3 linked regions of the Drosophila melanogaster genome follow. The protein of the gene in region 2 interacts with the protein of the main gene of each other region in a pairwise test. Each region holds a gene or a part of one and is shown on either strand. Other genes may lie near its edges.

What was found. The genes of interacting proteins can lie anywhere in the genome.
Region 1: the proteins of Gbs-70E (region 2) and Pp1-13C interact in a two-hybrid assay, tested with the Drosophila melanogaster proteins (one study listed by BioGRID).
Region 3: the proteins of Gbs-70E (region 2) and Pp1alpha-96A interact in a two-hybrid assay, tested with the Drosophila melanogaster proteins (2 studies listed by BioGRID).

What each region holds. Positions count from the first base shown.
Region 1 is NC_004354.4:15,358,557-15,362,635, forward strand, and holds Pp1-13C (protein phosphatase 1 at 13C), read right to left. Parts: upstream 2,506-4,079; 5' UTR 2,235-2,505; intron 2,166-2,234; 5' UTR 1,782-2,165; coding exon 873-1,781; 3' UTR 545-872; downstream 1-544.
Region 2 is NT_037436.4:14,547,936-14,552,936, forward strand, and holds the start of Gbs-70E (glycogen binding subunit 70E), read right to left. Parts: upstream 3,041-5,001; 5' UTR 2,602-3,040; intron 2,225-2,601; 5' UTR 2,155-2,224; coding exon 2,063-2,154; intron 1-2,062.
Region 3 is NT_033777.3:24,516,758-24,522,875, forward strand, and holds Pp1alpha-96A (protein phosphatase 1alpha at 96A), read left to right. Parts: upstream 1-1,512; 5' UTR 1,513-1,901; coding exon 1,902-1,950; intron 1,951-2,086; coding exon 2,087-2,435; intron 2,436-2,838; coding exon 2,839-3,124; exon of another isoform or gene 3,125-3,182; coding exon 3,183-3,330; intron 3,331-3,585; coding exon 3,586-3,737; 3' UTR 3,738-5,574; downstream 5,575-6,118. Other genes in the region: DZIP1, read left to right, coding at 1-563, 619-775, 834-1,280; CG13622 (uncharacterized protein), read right to left, coding at 5,833-6,118.

The DNA.
Region 1 (4,079 bases), on a different chromosome or scaffold from region 2:
ACGCTCTACCGCCATCTCGCTCCCACCCTTTGTATTTCATTGCCCACTTTCTTTTCTGATTGTTTACGCGCTAATGACCTCATTATATATATAATGTAATTTGTTGTTGCCACACTGGGTTCCTTTTCTCTATTGTTTTTTTTTTCATCTTGTTTTGACATAATAAAGCGTTTTTGGCGCAATTTGTTGTATCTTTGTCTCTGTTTTTTTGTTTGTCGTCTGTCTGCCAGCTCGCTCCCTCTCTCTTACGCCCCCATATCGCCCACTCATTTTACGTGTGCATGTGTGCATGTGTGTGCGTGTGCTTTGTTAATTTTTAAGCATTGTTAATATAATATGGCGGTGACTTCTGTCACCGAACACGAACAGATGGAGGTGAATCTCTTTTTCAGGGGGATCACCCACTTTTCACTCCGCCGGAATTCGTAGCACACTTTTCAGGGCTTCCACATTTGGGAAAGGTGCTTAAATTAAGAGTTGGATAAACTAGCTGACAAGATTAATTAGGAAATCGAAAAAAAACAACAATTAGATGAAAACACTTGAAATTTTAAATGTAAGTTTATTTTTGTAAAAGTCGCATATGGCGTTATTTTGCATTAGCTAAGCATAAGCTCTGCGTTCAAATCTCAGTGAACTTACACATATCATACAATATGCAAGAATTGGCTAGTGGATACCTCTGAAGACAGTTAGGATCCATGGAGGTATACGTTGTAGTTGAGCCATTTCCCTCGATCCGGTTGACTAGAGATGTATGTGGATATTATGATTTCGAACCGATTTCGTGTAGGATATTGTGAATGAGTCGCGTGCCGCGTGTTACAATATATAAGAATAAATCTAGAAGCGTCTACAGATCTCGCTGTCCTCTACTTCTTGCGCTTCTCGACAGGCTTCAGGATTTGGAAGGAGCACATGAGTGTATTGTCCACGGACATCATGGCACCAGCATTGTCGAATTCACCGCAATAGTTGGGGGCGGAAAACAAAGTGACCAATTGGCGCTTGGCAAAGAACTCGTAACCATCCTCGACGACTTGATGGGCACGACAGATCAGATCCAGATCGTGCTTTTGGAGGAACTTGACCACAACTTCGGCGCCAAAGGTGAAACTAACGCCACGGTCGTTCTCGCCCCACCCAATGGTGTCCTTGTCCGGATCGGACCACAGCAGGTCACAGAGTAGTCCCTGATCGGGAACATCGGTGGGACGCATAATACGACGGATCTGCTCCATCGAGGTAAGATCCGGACTCAGTCCGCCGTGGCAGCAAAAGATCTTCTCATCCACAATGGCCACAACTGGCAGACAGTTGAAGCAGTCCGTGAATGTCTTCCACAACTTGATGGTATATCTGCGCTTGCACTCGTCGTAGAATCCATAGATTCTATTAATGCTGGCGCACTCGTGATTGCCGCGCAACAAAAAGAAGTTCTCCGAATACTTGATCTTGTACGCCAACAGCAGGCAGATGGTCTCCAGCGACTGCTTGCCCCTGTCCACGTAATCGCCCAAGAAAAGATAGTTAGCCTCCGGCGGATAGCCGCCGTACTCGAACAGACGCAACAGATCATAGTACTGGCCATGGATATCGCCGCAGATCTTGAGCGGCGCCTCCAGCTCTAAGAGTATGGGCTGTGCCAGCAGTATTTCGCGCGACTTGAGGCACAGGCCCCGTATCTCACCCTCCGACAGCTGGACATTCTTGCCAGGCCGTGCGCCACGCACCTCCAACAGACGGGAAATTATGCTCTCCAAATTGAGAACCTCCGCCATGGCCTCGGTCTTGGGGGCCGCGGCTGCGTTGTCCGGGCTGGATAGGACAATCGTCTGGGACGCCGTTGGGGCTGCTTGTCAGGGACTCACCCTGAGATCGCGGCTGTCTGGAGAATGGGACTGGATCCTCGGCGGAGCTGGTCTATTTGGGTCACAAACTTAGCTTCTTGGGTGCAGCAAAATGTATGTCCTGATGACGTGCACTTTTTGTGATGATTTGTGAATTTTTCGATTTACTCAATACCAGGTGCTCAATACCAGAACATAACCGAATGGAATTGCTTCTTCTCGATATGTGGCGGTGAATTGTTTAGCGTTCAGCTTTTTTTTTCTTTTGATTCTTTCACAAAATGCCTAATAAAAATGTAGGACAAATTCTCGCTTCTAGAAAAAGTGAAAAGAAAAAGGTTTGACAGCTTGATTAGCTATATCGATTGAAATCGATTACCCTACCTTCTCTAAGTTCCTTCTAGTGGTGTGCAAAGTCCAGCTGTTGTAATCTAAATTCTAGAATCTAGACATTTGACCTCTGCGTGCTGTACTAGCAGTCGTCTTTAGATCGTGTTTTTTTTTTTTCGATTTCGCTTCTCCGGAAGTTAATGAAAATTGAGGATCTGATCGGATACACATGTGCTGTTCACTAAAACGCACTTTAATACTCTACATTCGCGCTTTTGCGGTATCTTAAAAATTTTAAAAAAAATTTTGATTCCGGAACGGTGACCTTTATACTTTTCAAAGACTAAACGAATGACAAATCGACGACAGACAAGTCAGTGACTACATCGCATTGTTCCAGTTCGTGTTTCATGGAAATGTGATGGTATAGTGATTTCTCAGAAACTTTTACAATAGAAAATATATATATTATATAAACGCATTTATTTGTATTTTCTTCGCATGTTCTAGGTTTTAAACTAAAATAAACGATACCTTAACCATCCTTATAAGCTGTCTTACATCCCGCGTTTGCAGTACTAGAAAGGTATTATTTAAGTTGGTCACCCCTGGAAAAGTGTGCCGACCCTCGTCTGACCCTCGCCCATTTGTTCATATTATCTCTGATTGAGTGGAAAACTTGAAGTTGCCGAGTGCCATTTGCTGTGCACCCCGGTTTTGGTATATTGTATATGAGCTTATTTCGTCGGATTTCCCGGCTAGTGTGGCCACTAATTAGCTGCAATTTGTTGGCGCAACTTGAAAAATGGCAGTGTAAACAGGGTATTTTCCAGTGTCCCAATAATGAGGCAATAACCCCGCATTTTTCACATACATACCATATATATACCATATATATATGTACACATAAGTATATTACATAAATAGCGAGCTGTTCGAGCTGATTGAACTGCTTTGTCGGCTGTTGGCGAAGGGCTCCACTGTACAGTGTGTATCGTGTGCTGGCGCACCGCAAAGCAAACATTCAAACATTCAAACAGCAGCGGCATCGTTTATTTTGGGGAAACAAAGGACCTCATTTTCCCCCATTTGTTTGACCAGCAAGGCAGCAAGGACAACAAGGACAACAGGGACCAACAACAAGCGGCCAAGTTTTATAAATGGCTTGGCCATTGTTGTGCGCCCGCCGCTGTTTGTTGAAATTAATTGGTGTTACACAAATGAGTAATTTTCAATGTACATAAATATTTGCACAAATTGCAATTTGTGTTGTGCGGCGGGGGATTGTCGGTGAGAGGGGGAGTAAGGGGGCGCACTCACTTTCGAGTGCTGTTCAAATAGCCATTTTTATTGTCAAGCGCTAATAATTTCCACAATGAATAATATGAACGGCAAGCATCTGTTATTATTCCAAACAAATCAAAACAAGTGCAGTCGAAACGAAACCGTGTGGGAGTGGGAGTGGGCCAAGACTCTTGAGTGCTGAGCCCTGAGCTTCTGAGCCAGTGATATTCAGAGTCCTGCATCCTGGGCATCCCACCCTGCGCTGGCATCCTGGCCACACACAAATCTTCATAAATTGCAACGGCCGGGGCGACAGTTTTGGGAATTGAGACAAAGTGCGAGAAGTGCCTGTGTACAGGGGCGAAATGCGAAAAGGGGTCGCCAAATGGGAAAATGATACACTTTACTTTACTTATTTTTACACATACACACACACGCACATACGGAAAGGACACCCCGTCGCACACAGACACAATCAAGGAGCAACAAATTGCCGCATAAATGTGGGGTGGTTCGCCACCTAATAGATTTTATTTTATTTTTATATCCGCCAGACGCGCAGCCAGCGGCCAACTTTTTTCCTACTTGTCGTTGTTTTATTTATTTATTTTTTTT
Region 2 (5,001 bases):
GAGGCCCATGTACTACTTGTATTTGTACTTGTACTTGTGTAGTCCTACTGATACGTGTATATTGTCTATAAAGAAACATCGCTGATAAGAGGAGTTGCGCGCGACCTCCTCACTTAATTCGGGTTTGCCGTGGGTGGGAAATGTATAGTATGAATATGAAGCATATTTGTTTGGGTTCTTCAGTGAGTCATTTCTAAAATTGTATAGTCGGAGAGACTCGCTGGTCTTACTCATTTGGCACAGTTCACATCCCATTTGTAGTTATCATAATTTTTCGGCTAGACATTCATAAAACTAAAAGTCAATGGTTGATAAGGATCGTTCAATGGGGTTCGCGTGGACTTTTGCATGCTAAACATATGTTGACGGCATGCTGATACGTCTTTTTCGGCGTGGGCCTGGCTATGGGAACATTTCCGTCTGCTCTGCTGTTATCATCAACTTTTTTTGGCTAATTGGCGCTGTCTGGAGACAATATCAGCATATTTAGTGCTTGAGTTGGCAACCAAAAGAATTCAATCATTTTCGATGACGACCCGCCCAGTTACGTGGGTAGTTCTAGGTATTGGGTGGGGTAAACTGTTGTAAAATCACGCTGTGAAATTTCAAGTGAGTTGACGCATTAGCAGCTGAGTTACTTGAGTTGGTTGGAGTACTCGGTTTGTTTGAAGGCATGCCGCTCACGTGCCCCGATAAGAAATGTTCATAGTTGTAGGGATCGCAGTAGGGCTTTCGCATGTATTACCTCCCACAGTTTTATCTACTGAACCTCTTTAATCTTAACTGATTATTTAGTTTTTTACCGGTTCTTGTAGCGTTTGTTTTGCTTGGCCATACTCTAGATATAGATTTATTTTTAGCTGAAGTCCTCATATATACGAATATAAGTTATACGAATTTTCGGTATTGTATATTTATCATTCCCAAAAATAAAATACTCTCAACAAATATGATGAAAATGCAGCGCGTGCAGCAAATGAAGCACGGCAAATTGCTTTAATTCAATCAATTGCTCTCGCCTCTGTATAAATATAATATATAGATATTACCCTTCTTCCCTTTACCAATTTGTCAAATTTTCGGCTTGCTCGTGTGCCCCTGAGAAAAAAAGTTGCGTCAAGCGCCACGCGCAAATTGTCGCCAAGCAAATTTTTGGCGTCACCCCCACGACTCGTGAACGAATCTTCAAATCTCAGTTGGCTCCACCAGCGAAAGATCACCTCAGAATCGGCGAAATGTTTGTTTTGGTTCAGTATTCTGTCTTGCCTTGATCTTGAATGCTTGCTTTTCATATTTTGCCAATCTGTTGTTGTCAACCAAAAACGAGCCTTAGCACGAATATTTTTAGTACCTGCATTCATTGTGTTTTCGAATAGTTCTCAGGTTTTAATACTATGTATTGGGTAAGACATGTTTCCTGCCTTTGATCAGGTGTTAAAATTTCCATAGACGACACTTGAAACAGGTGTTTCATGTGAATCAATATGGGCAGCCCTCGAGAGATCGATAATATTCCTTTTCTGGATTGTGTAAACAACTGAGTTCTTATATTCATTAAATGGAATTACGGCATTCCGGTCTGTTTATTTTGTTAATGTGGGTTATGTTTGGGTATTTTGAAATTTGTTTTAAATTTGAATGTTTAAAATTATTGTTTAAATATTCGCCAGAGAGAACGCCTAATGCAAAAGGGTATTAATCATTTTTATCTGTTATGTATTTTTTATCTCTCAGTTTAATTCATTTACTATCACATGGTTTTTCAGGTTATCAGACATTTATATCGTTTCTCTTATTAACACGTACACCACTTGTTAAATTCATAAAAGATGATGCATCAGAAAATGCTTCTAGTTCCTTATCAATCGATAAGAAAGTTAAAAAAATATTTTCTTTCGACATGAAAAAACCTGAGAATTGGTACTCTTTCAATGATGTTTGGCTATTTAATTTGTTTTGATTGGCTGCCGAAACTCGTGGATTCACTTAGAGCAATTCTGTGTTAAATTAGTCCAATTGCTGGCTATATTTATTTATGAGTTATATACTTTTGTAAACTTACTTCAACGATTGACGGGGATGTCCGCTCATGAAGTCCGCCAGAAAACTAACGGGTGGACTGTGACTGAATATGGGCGGACTGTGCGAAATCATTTTATATATGGCTTCGATCTGCGCTGATTACAATGATCTCTACAAACAAGGAACTTTGGTATGGAAGCCCCTGTGGAAAAATATAGAAAATTAACGATTTGTTTTTGTTGCTAATCGAAGCGCGGCAATAAATGAACGTTTAATTGGAAAGTAATGTGTAAATAGAATGCATGATCCGAATATATAATATATGTTTATGAAATTTCATATTAATTGCTAATCTCAGGTGGAATCGGAATTAATGATGGTATAATATAGCAATACCATTTCCATAAGAGATAACATTCGAAACGTTGTTAGTTTGGTCCAAATGCATGTTAAAATCAGTTTGATTCGAAACAAGGTGATGTAAATGCTGATACCCAAAATAATAAAATGCCCCCCTTCTTATGTTTTATAAAGTTTTTCATGATATGTTTATTGTGTAGTTTTAGCTTTACAACTAACCGTTAATTGTTATCTCCACTCTGTTTTCCGCTTCACTTTTGACTTCTGGCTAGGAGGTAAGGAACTTTTCTTTTTCTTGTGCAGTCAATCCACTTTAAATTTTACTGTGATCTTTCTTTCTTTGATCTTATTTAAATTTTTACTTTTTCATTTGTACATCACGCGTGAGCGTCAGACAATGAAAAACGATCGTTGGGACGGAACCTTAATTGAATTTATTAAAATCCTCCGATCGGGGCACTTTTTTCGTGGTCACACACACAAAACGACGAACGATTTTTAATAGATTTTTCGCGGACTTTGCTTAAGTGTAGCTAAATTTTCTTGTGTCAATTATTTAACACGGACAAAAAAACAGCAACTAGTTTCCGTCGCGTTCCCCGCTTCGTTCCGTTCCTCCTATGAACCGTACGCTTCGACGATGCGAAAACGAATGAAAATGTTTGTTGCTGCAACTTGCCGTTAAGACTTGATCGGGGCGACAGAAAAAGAGAGAGAGAGAAAAAGAAAAAGAGAGAGATTGGTTGTTTGAATTCCCTTCCAAGACATATAGACATGTTAGTGGAGCGTTTGTAATGTTATCAGAATGTTATATATTCAAGAGGCCAGTATATAAAAACAGAAAACAGAAATAACAGTAAAGCAGAATAAAATAAAATCATCCCATTTTTACTACTAATGAACGACCACATAAAACAGTTAAGTTTTCTGCTCTGTTAGTACTTTAAAGGGTATACATAATTCAGCGTTCTGAACTCGCGTTAGGTTTCTAGAATAGCCCCGGTCTCTCTCTCACTCTCTCTCTCTCTCCTGATCGACGTGGCTTGCATATTTTGATTGCATTTTGGTATTCCGCAGTGATTGTAGTTGTGGTTTCGATTTAGCGTCGGTCCTAGTTGCTTTGATTAGTTTTGGCGCCACTGGCGGTGACAAAAGTCAAAACGGGTGTCAGCCCCTCGAGACATGATCACATGCACGGGAAGCATCCCATCTCCCAAAATCAAATTTCCCACTGAGCCTCGTGGCGCTCAAGTGAATTTCAAGGAGTTTGGCAAACACTTTTTCCGTCTCAGCTTTTTAAATATTTATCTTATCGAAGTCGATAGGTTATAGCCTCTGGTCTGTTCAGTTCAATATTTATAGCCTTACGAACTAGAATTGGTATTATTAGTTAAATTGTTTTTTATTATAAAAGATATTTCACACACAGATTTATAAGGGCCTCTTCCGCACTCAATTGAATATGGGACATTATTCACCACTCGACTCATTTGTGAGTGGGTTTTGGTTTTATGTGTCTGCCCACGCATTTCTTTTATGTGAGGGTGCTCCCCTGACATATGTAAATCAATTAGGCCTTCCATTAGGGTCTCGTGAATGAGACACTTTTAGTCTATTTTCATTGCTGAACTTATAAAAAGCTCTTCGAATTTAATCGATTTTGGTAATAAAAAAGGAAAATATGCAACTATATTAATTGAAATTTTTTATAAATAATAAATACTATAAAACCTAAGTCTATGTCTCAAAAAGTACTTTATCTGCTTTGATAAGTTATCAGCTGATTATAAATGCATTCGTATTAAAAATAGTCCAAGTCATTAGTGATTATAGCTTAAAATTCCTCATCAATCCCATAAAACTCGCGCGTAAGGCCATTATTAAAATAGAAATCAACACCTAAACCTGCGTAAGAGGCTCAAAATTTCAAATACTCAACTAATGAAGCATTGAAATTGATTTTCCTCGTCGCTTTTTCTTTTCCAATCTATGCATGTAGAGTTCAGGCCAGTTTCGACCCACATGATATCTGTCGTACCCACATCAAAACTGTCCCAGACAAGCGGAAACCGCTGAATGCAACCAAGTCTGCTCAAAAATGCAGTCTCAGGCTCGACTATTCGGAACTCGAAATTGTGGTTGGGCCTCCTTTATATAGAGACTGTATATGTATTTGAGTTTTATCTATGCTCTATTTTTGGTGTGCGTGCTCGGTGTACATTCACTCATGGCGGTTCGGTGCATAGGCATGGACATTCGAGTCTTTTTCTTTTTTGATCAGGGAAATGTTTTCGTAATGCCTGATTTGAAATCACATCTCGAAGCCCATGATAATGCAACTCTCTGAAGAGATCACGCTTTTTGTCTCTCAAGAGCCTCAACGACTGTTAAACAAAAACGTACTTTGAATGCGCACTTTCTTCATTTCTTCTTCGACTGCCAACGCAGCATCCCATTGAACCTCGCTGATGAAGGGGGTTTCTGCGGACAAAGGGGTTTCGAAAGGGGTTAGGGGCAAAAGAGCCGGCCGGCTAAGTTGCTTGCCTAGTTGAAAGCCGGTTTCGAGAGATCCCTGCGTGCATACAGAAGTGGTTACTTGAGTGCCTCGTTGCAGTTGCC
Region 3 (6,118 bases), on a different chromosome or scaffold from region 2:
CTGGAAGAGGTGGTCTATCACCTTGAGGAGGGCTACAAGGAGAAGCTAGGGGCACTGGAGCGAGAGCTCAAGCAGCTGAGTGTTCAAAAGGTGCAGCCAGAGCCTGTGCAGACTGTGCCAGTTGCCTCGAAAATACCCAAGCCGGTGGTTCGCAAGGAGGAAACCAACATTGATCGGATTCGCAAGCAGGTGGAGAGCGAGTTCCTCAAACAGAAACATGACGATGACACCTATTCCATTGAGGAGGCGCCACGAAAAGGTTCGGAGAAACCATTCCCACAGCTGGTGACCCAAGTTCAAGTGGTGGAAAAGGAGCAGCCAAGTGCTGGAAGTTCGGACAGCAATCCGACTTATACGAAATCTCCAAGGGAACCTGCTCCTAATAAGCAGGAAACGAAAGAAGCCACGGACGTAAGCGATAGTCTCAGCCAAGAAGAGACGGAGAACGAAGAGGAGCGCAGCCTGACAGAGGAGGAGGGGACCGATGTTCCCACCTCCGGGTCGGAAGCAGCACGAGAGGATCCAACGCCAAAAACAATCAAGCCTTCTGGAAGAATCATCAAGTGAGTGTTTCGATGTTAAGCTTTCTTAGAGTAATAATAATCCACATGTTTTAAGGAGCCCTCAAAAACCACTTACTCGCAAGGATGCCCGGAAGATGGTCAACCGGAAGTTGATGTCTCACGGCTTCGATATGAAGTCCAAAGGTATTTCGCATAACTCTTTGAAGAGAGTGAACTCCGAGCTGACAGAGCACCGCAACAAACTGAAACTGGTAAGCCTATAACTGCCAAAAACTAATGAACTTTTGACAATTCTGGAATACCCTTTAGCAACATCCACATTTTTACGCCACTCGAAATCGCATCCGCAAGTTTGTCGAAAAACTGTGCTCCGCCAAGTTCTCGGAACGCGCGGAAATGTTGCTGAAGCACAAGAGTCCACTCAAGCCAATGGAGGTTCCAGGCAAAGGGATCCCGAGGTCTGCGATCTCTGAAAAGTCTGAAGAGGATATAGCCAGCTCTCAAGGCGAAGAGCAGACGGATGAGCAAACGGATAGCAGCGAACAGCAAACTCGAAGCCCCAGTCCTCAAAGACTAGTTAGTCGCGATTTCAAGGCTCGTCTGGAGGAGATCCTGGTCAAGCCGGCGGCCACTATTCGAGGAGCTTCCAAGTCGTCCCTGAGTTCGAGGCCAGTTCCGCTGCCCAGGAAGCGGGTGATGTTCAACACCACGGAGGACGGGAAGAGCTTCAATGACAGCGATGATAACCTAAAATGAGTCAATAAAGATGATATTATAATACTTTGGGTATAAATGTCAACGATACGTTTAATAGCCAATATATCATAAGATAATTATATTCCTTTATGAGTACCTATCACCTGTTCAATGTACCGTACTTAACTAAAAAATATTGTTTTTTAAATGAATTTGCATATTCCGGTCACACTACCTTTTACCGATAGCTGCGCGCCGTGCAATGGATAGGCAATCGATAGGCAATCGACTCGCGCTGTAAACAATCGACGTCACTAACCAACGTAGATGAAAATTTTTTAGTACGTCGCGAGTAAAACGTGCATTAAATGCAATAAAAGGGCAGCTGGCTAAGGATCGGAACGATTGAAGTCAGCCAACCTCAGAGGGGTGAGCAACCGAGGCAGTGAATCCGCGAATCCGTGCATCCAGCTGACCAAAGGGCGAGATTAGCCCAGCACCGAGTTTCCATCCGCACACGGACACGGCGCACACACACACAGGCACACGCAGCCCGTGCCCATCGATGAAATAACATACATAACGAACGTATACCGAAAATACACGGGTTACGGGAAATAGCAGTTGCTGCAATCGGCGGATAAGCGAACTTCAGGAAGCTGAGCAAGCGGGCCCACAAAGATGTCGGATATCATGAACATCGACAGTATCATCTCGCGCCTGCTGGAGGGTAGGTGTTAGGGCTCCAACTTTTGATTACCTTGCCCCCACCCATCATCACCCATTCCCCACATGCCTTGCCACCCAACCACCGCCCACTCTCATCACCTTAACGTAAATTTTCCCTGCTTGGTTTTCCATTGCAGTGCGCGGTGCACGACCGGGAAAGAATGTTCAGCTATCAGAGAGCGAGATCCGCAGCCTGTGCCTCAAGTCCCGCGAGATATTCCTGTCGCAGCCCATACTCCTGGAGCTGGAGGCACCGCTGAAGATCTGCGGCGACATACACGGACAATATTATGACCTCTTGCGCCTGTTCGAATACGGCGGCTTTCCGCCCGAGTCAAACTACCTGTTCCTGGGCGACTATGTCGATCGCGGCAAGCAATCCCTGGAGACGATATGCCTGCTGCTGGCCTACAAGATCAAGTACGCGGAGAACTTCTTCTTGCTGCGCGGCAACCATGAGTGCGCCAGCATCAATCGCATCTACGGGTAAGTGGGGAGGCGGCTCCAAAAACAGGATGAAGCTTGATGAAATGGTTAGCAATCTGTTCAGTTCAGCACCGAAACAATTTGCTTTCCTGCTTAGATTACTGAAACTCATTTGATTACAATTTATATTATTCTTACGACTCGTATTTACTTCTGATGACTATGTACTTTTATACATGCTATAGAACTTATAGTTGTTTATTGTTTACGTGAGCTTTAAAAATTTCCCAGACATATTGATGTCTACTTATGCTTCCAAGCTTATTAATACTTTCTAGTTTATTGACGCACACAACGATATCCATTACAATTAAATTAGCCATACTTCAAATACATAAAGTAAATGCCACATTCTATAGCAATAATCCATAAAATTACTCAACTAATTGCACTTAATTGGCAGGTTCTATGACGAATGTAAACGTCGCTACACCATCAAGCTGTGGAAAACTTTCACGGACTGCTTCAACTGCCTGCCGGTGGCCGCCATCGTGGATGAGAAGATCTTCTGCTGCCACGGTGGCCTGAGTCCAGATCTGTCGTCCATGGAGCAGATACGACGCATCATGCGTCCCACAGACGTGCCCGATCAGGGACTGCTGTGCGATCTGCTGTGGTCGGATCCGGATAAGGATACCATGGGCTGGGGCGAGAATGATCGCGGCGTGAGCTTCACATTTGGAGCAGAGGTGGGTTCTTCGCATTACACTGTTCGCCACAATGTTGTTTATGCATTCGCTCTTGCAGGTTGTGGGTAAATTTTTACAGAAGCACGAATTTGACCTGATCTGTCGGGCTCATCAGGTAGTGGAGGACGGTTATGAGTTCTTCGCCAAACGTCAGCTGGTGACGCTCTTCTCGGCGCCCAACTACTGCGGGGAATTCGACAACGCGGGTAAGTGATCATTGTTCGGGGACTTTAGTCGGAGATAAACCTTGTTTATTTGGAGAACAACCACGTTGCACCCTTGTACTCGGTGATTTTGCCTGCCGATAAGCTGTCGGCAAGTGAAAGCTGGCAACCAGATTTAAATTCAACTCGGAAAATGCGCATTTAAAAATAATCAATAATCAATACCGAGAATGAAACTACCTATGCACGACACCCGCTTCTAATGAATTGATTAATCATTATTGATTACGTTTACAGGTGCCATGATGTCCGTGGACGACACATTGATGTGCTCCTTCCAGATATTGAAACCCGCCGACAAGCGACGATTTGTTTATCCCAACTTTGGCAGCTCAGGACGTCCTTTGACACCGCCACGCGGAGCTAACAATAAAAACAAGAAAAAATAAACACTGCACACCTCGAACGAAGCACAACAACAACAGCAACTACAAACGGCCACACACACAAAACACAAATAGGGAAAACAGAAAGGAGAATCCGTGTGTCCACATTCAACGGAAAGCGCAGAGAGTTTGTTTTTATCATAAACGTGTAATCGAATCGTGAGCAACGTTATATGGGGAATATGAATCTACACAAATTAGCCTATCTTTCATTTGAAAAGGAAAAAAAAACAAAAACAAATAAGGAAAACGAAACGAATGAAATGAAATTAAGAAACCAGAAAACACAAATCGAGACACTTTAGTTCAAACTAATGGTAGTGTAAGACACTGCATAAGCAAGAATATTTTATCTCCTAATGTATTAATTTTGTTATAATATTTCCTTGCGCAAAACCCACACACTCACACACACACACACACATACACATGCTCAGATCATCCGTACAGTAGGTACCATAAGTGCACGCACCGGTTGTATTTTAATTTGCATTTCCAACTCGCACAGCATTTTAATTATGTATGCCGATCCTGGCGGCACCTTTGGCAAAGGTCTTTAACCACACTTCCCTTCTTCCTTGTTTTTTTTTTTTGCGTATCTAAGGGAATATTAGCAAATGGTAACAATGTTAAATTTTATGTTAATTAAACTGTACGAGAATGCTTTTAAATGTGAGTTGAGGTTACTACATATTACATATGTATGTACTCGAAGCACGATTTATTTTTGTAATATTTGACATCGATACATGTTTACTTAGTTTTAAAACGAGGAAAGCAATTTTAGTTGCAAGCTACAAAAGCTTGAATTGTTTACACCAAAAATATTAAAATAAACAAATATTGTGAATATTTTTTAACTGTTTGCATTACACAAACACACACATACAGGCAAGCACGCACACACGATTTTAAGGAGAACCCTGAAAAGTATGTTTATATAGACAAAAATAAACCCGAATTGAAAATCTACCTTAAGGCGAACGCTTTTGAGCGGCACTGTGTGCTCTCTGCTGATGTCAGCGACGAGGCAGATAATGTTACCCCCTTTTAATCCCCCGCCCAGACGAAAGGAAAGCAGCGGCCCCAGACCCATTAAGTGCATGTGAAACTCACACGAAATATAGAAAAAAAAATCGAAACAAAAATAAGCAAGTAATAAAATATTTGTAAACAGCAGCGCAACAAACACAGACACAAACACTGTTTATCGTACAAGTGTACACTTTTGTGTATTTTGCATTCTACGACTAACGTCGCAACATTCTAGTGCTAAAGGCCGCCACATTCAATTACAAGTATTATGCCCAGGCAGGCAGGCAGCGATCCGGAGCGATGCAGCCGGACGCAAGTTACCCAAAATGGTTTCGTTTGTATAATCCAATCCAATCCAATCCCCGCCCGACAACCAAGCAACCTACTAACAACAATCGTGTAACCTACGGACAAAAAAAAAAAAACAAAACCAAAAGCAAAGCATGAGTCCTCTTCTATTTCACACTCTAGTACTCTGTTCAATGTTGTAATGAATTCAACGTATATTTACGACTATATATGTACTTGTAATAATGCGATCCAGTACGACATCGGCTGTTTTCAACCCCCAAAAAACACAAGTCATAAGAAATCTATAACGTAATATCGTAAAATTAAAGTGTAATTGACCCCAAGAAGGAAATTAGAAAAGACAGATGGGGTAAATTTATAATGCATTCAAAGCGTAAATTGCAAAAAAAATAAAATACAATAAAAAAATAACAAACAAAAAAATCATTTAAAAAAGAGCTAAAAAATGAAACAAAAAAATACAAATTAAACAAAATGAACACAATGACGAAGCACTTGTAACAAAATAGCACTGTTTTATTAAAAAAAAAATTGAAATACATACTAGCAATAAATATGAAATTCGAGATGTGTTTTTACTTGAGTGAAATGCATGTTAGTTTCTTGTTTAAAAAAGCAAATCTATTATTTATTGTCTATATAGTTGGTGTTACAATCTAAAGCATTTCGAGGACTTTAAAATCTTATTTATAACTTTACTTTATGTTGCTTAATATATTGCACTAAATTTACTTTGTATAGCACTTTGTGTTTAGTTATATCGCAGTGAGCAACTCTTTCCCAAAGGAGCACATGTGCCACCCGTGCCCCTGCCATGTCGCTCATCCTCCTGGAGCCTCAGCTGGAGCAACTTCTGCCTTAAGGCATAAGGTGTGGTGGTGGTGCTGCTGCTGCTGCTCCTCGTCACTTCCTGTTGCCTGCTCTCATTGGCGCGATCTTTGTTCCACTTGTCCGAGTTGTTGAAAATGATTTTATCATATGCCCGCTGCAGGCGCAGCTTATCCTGGCGGACATCACTGAAGCATTCGCTTGTGTTC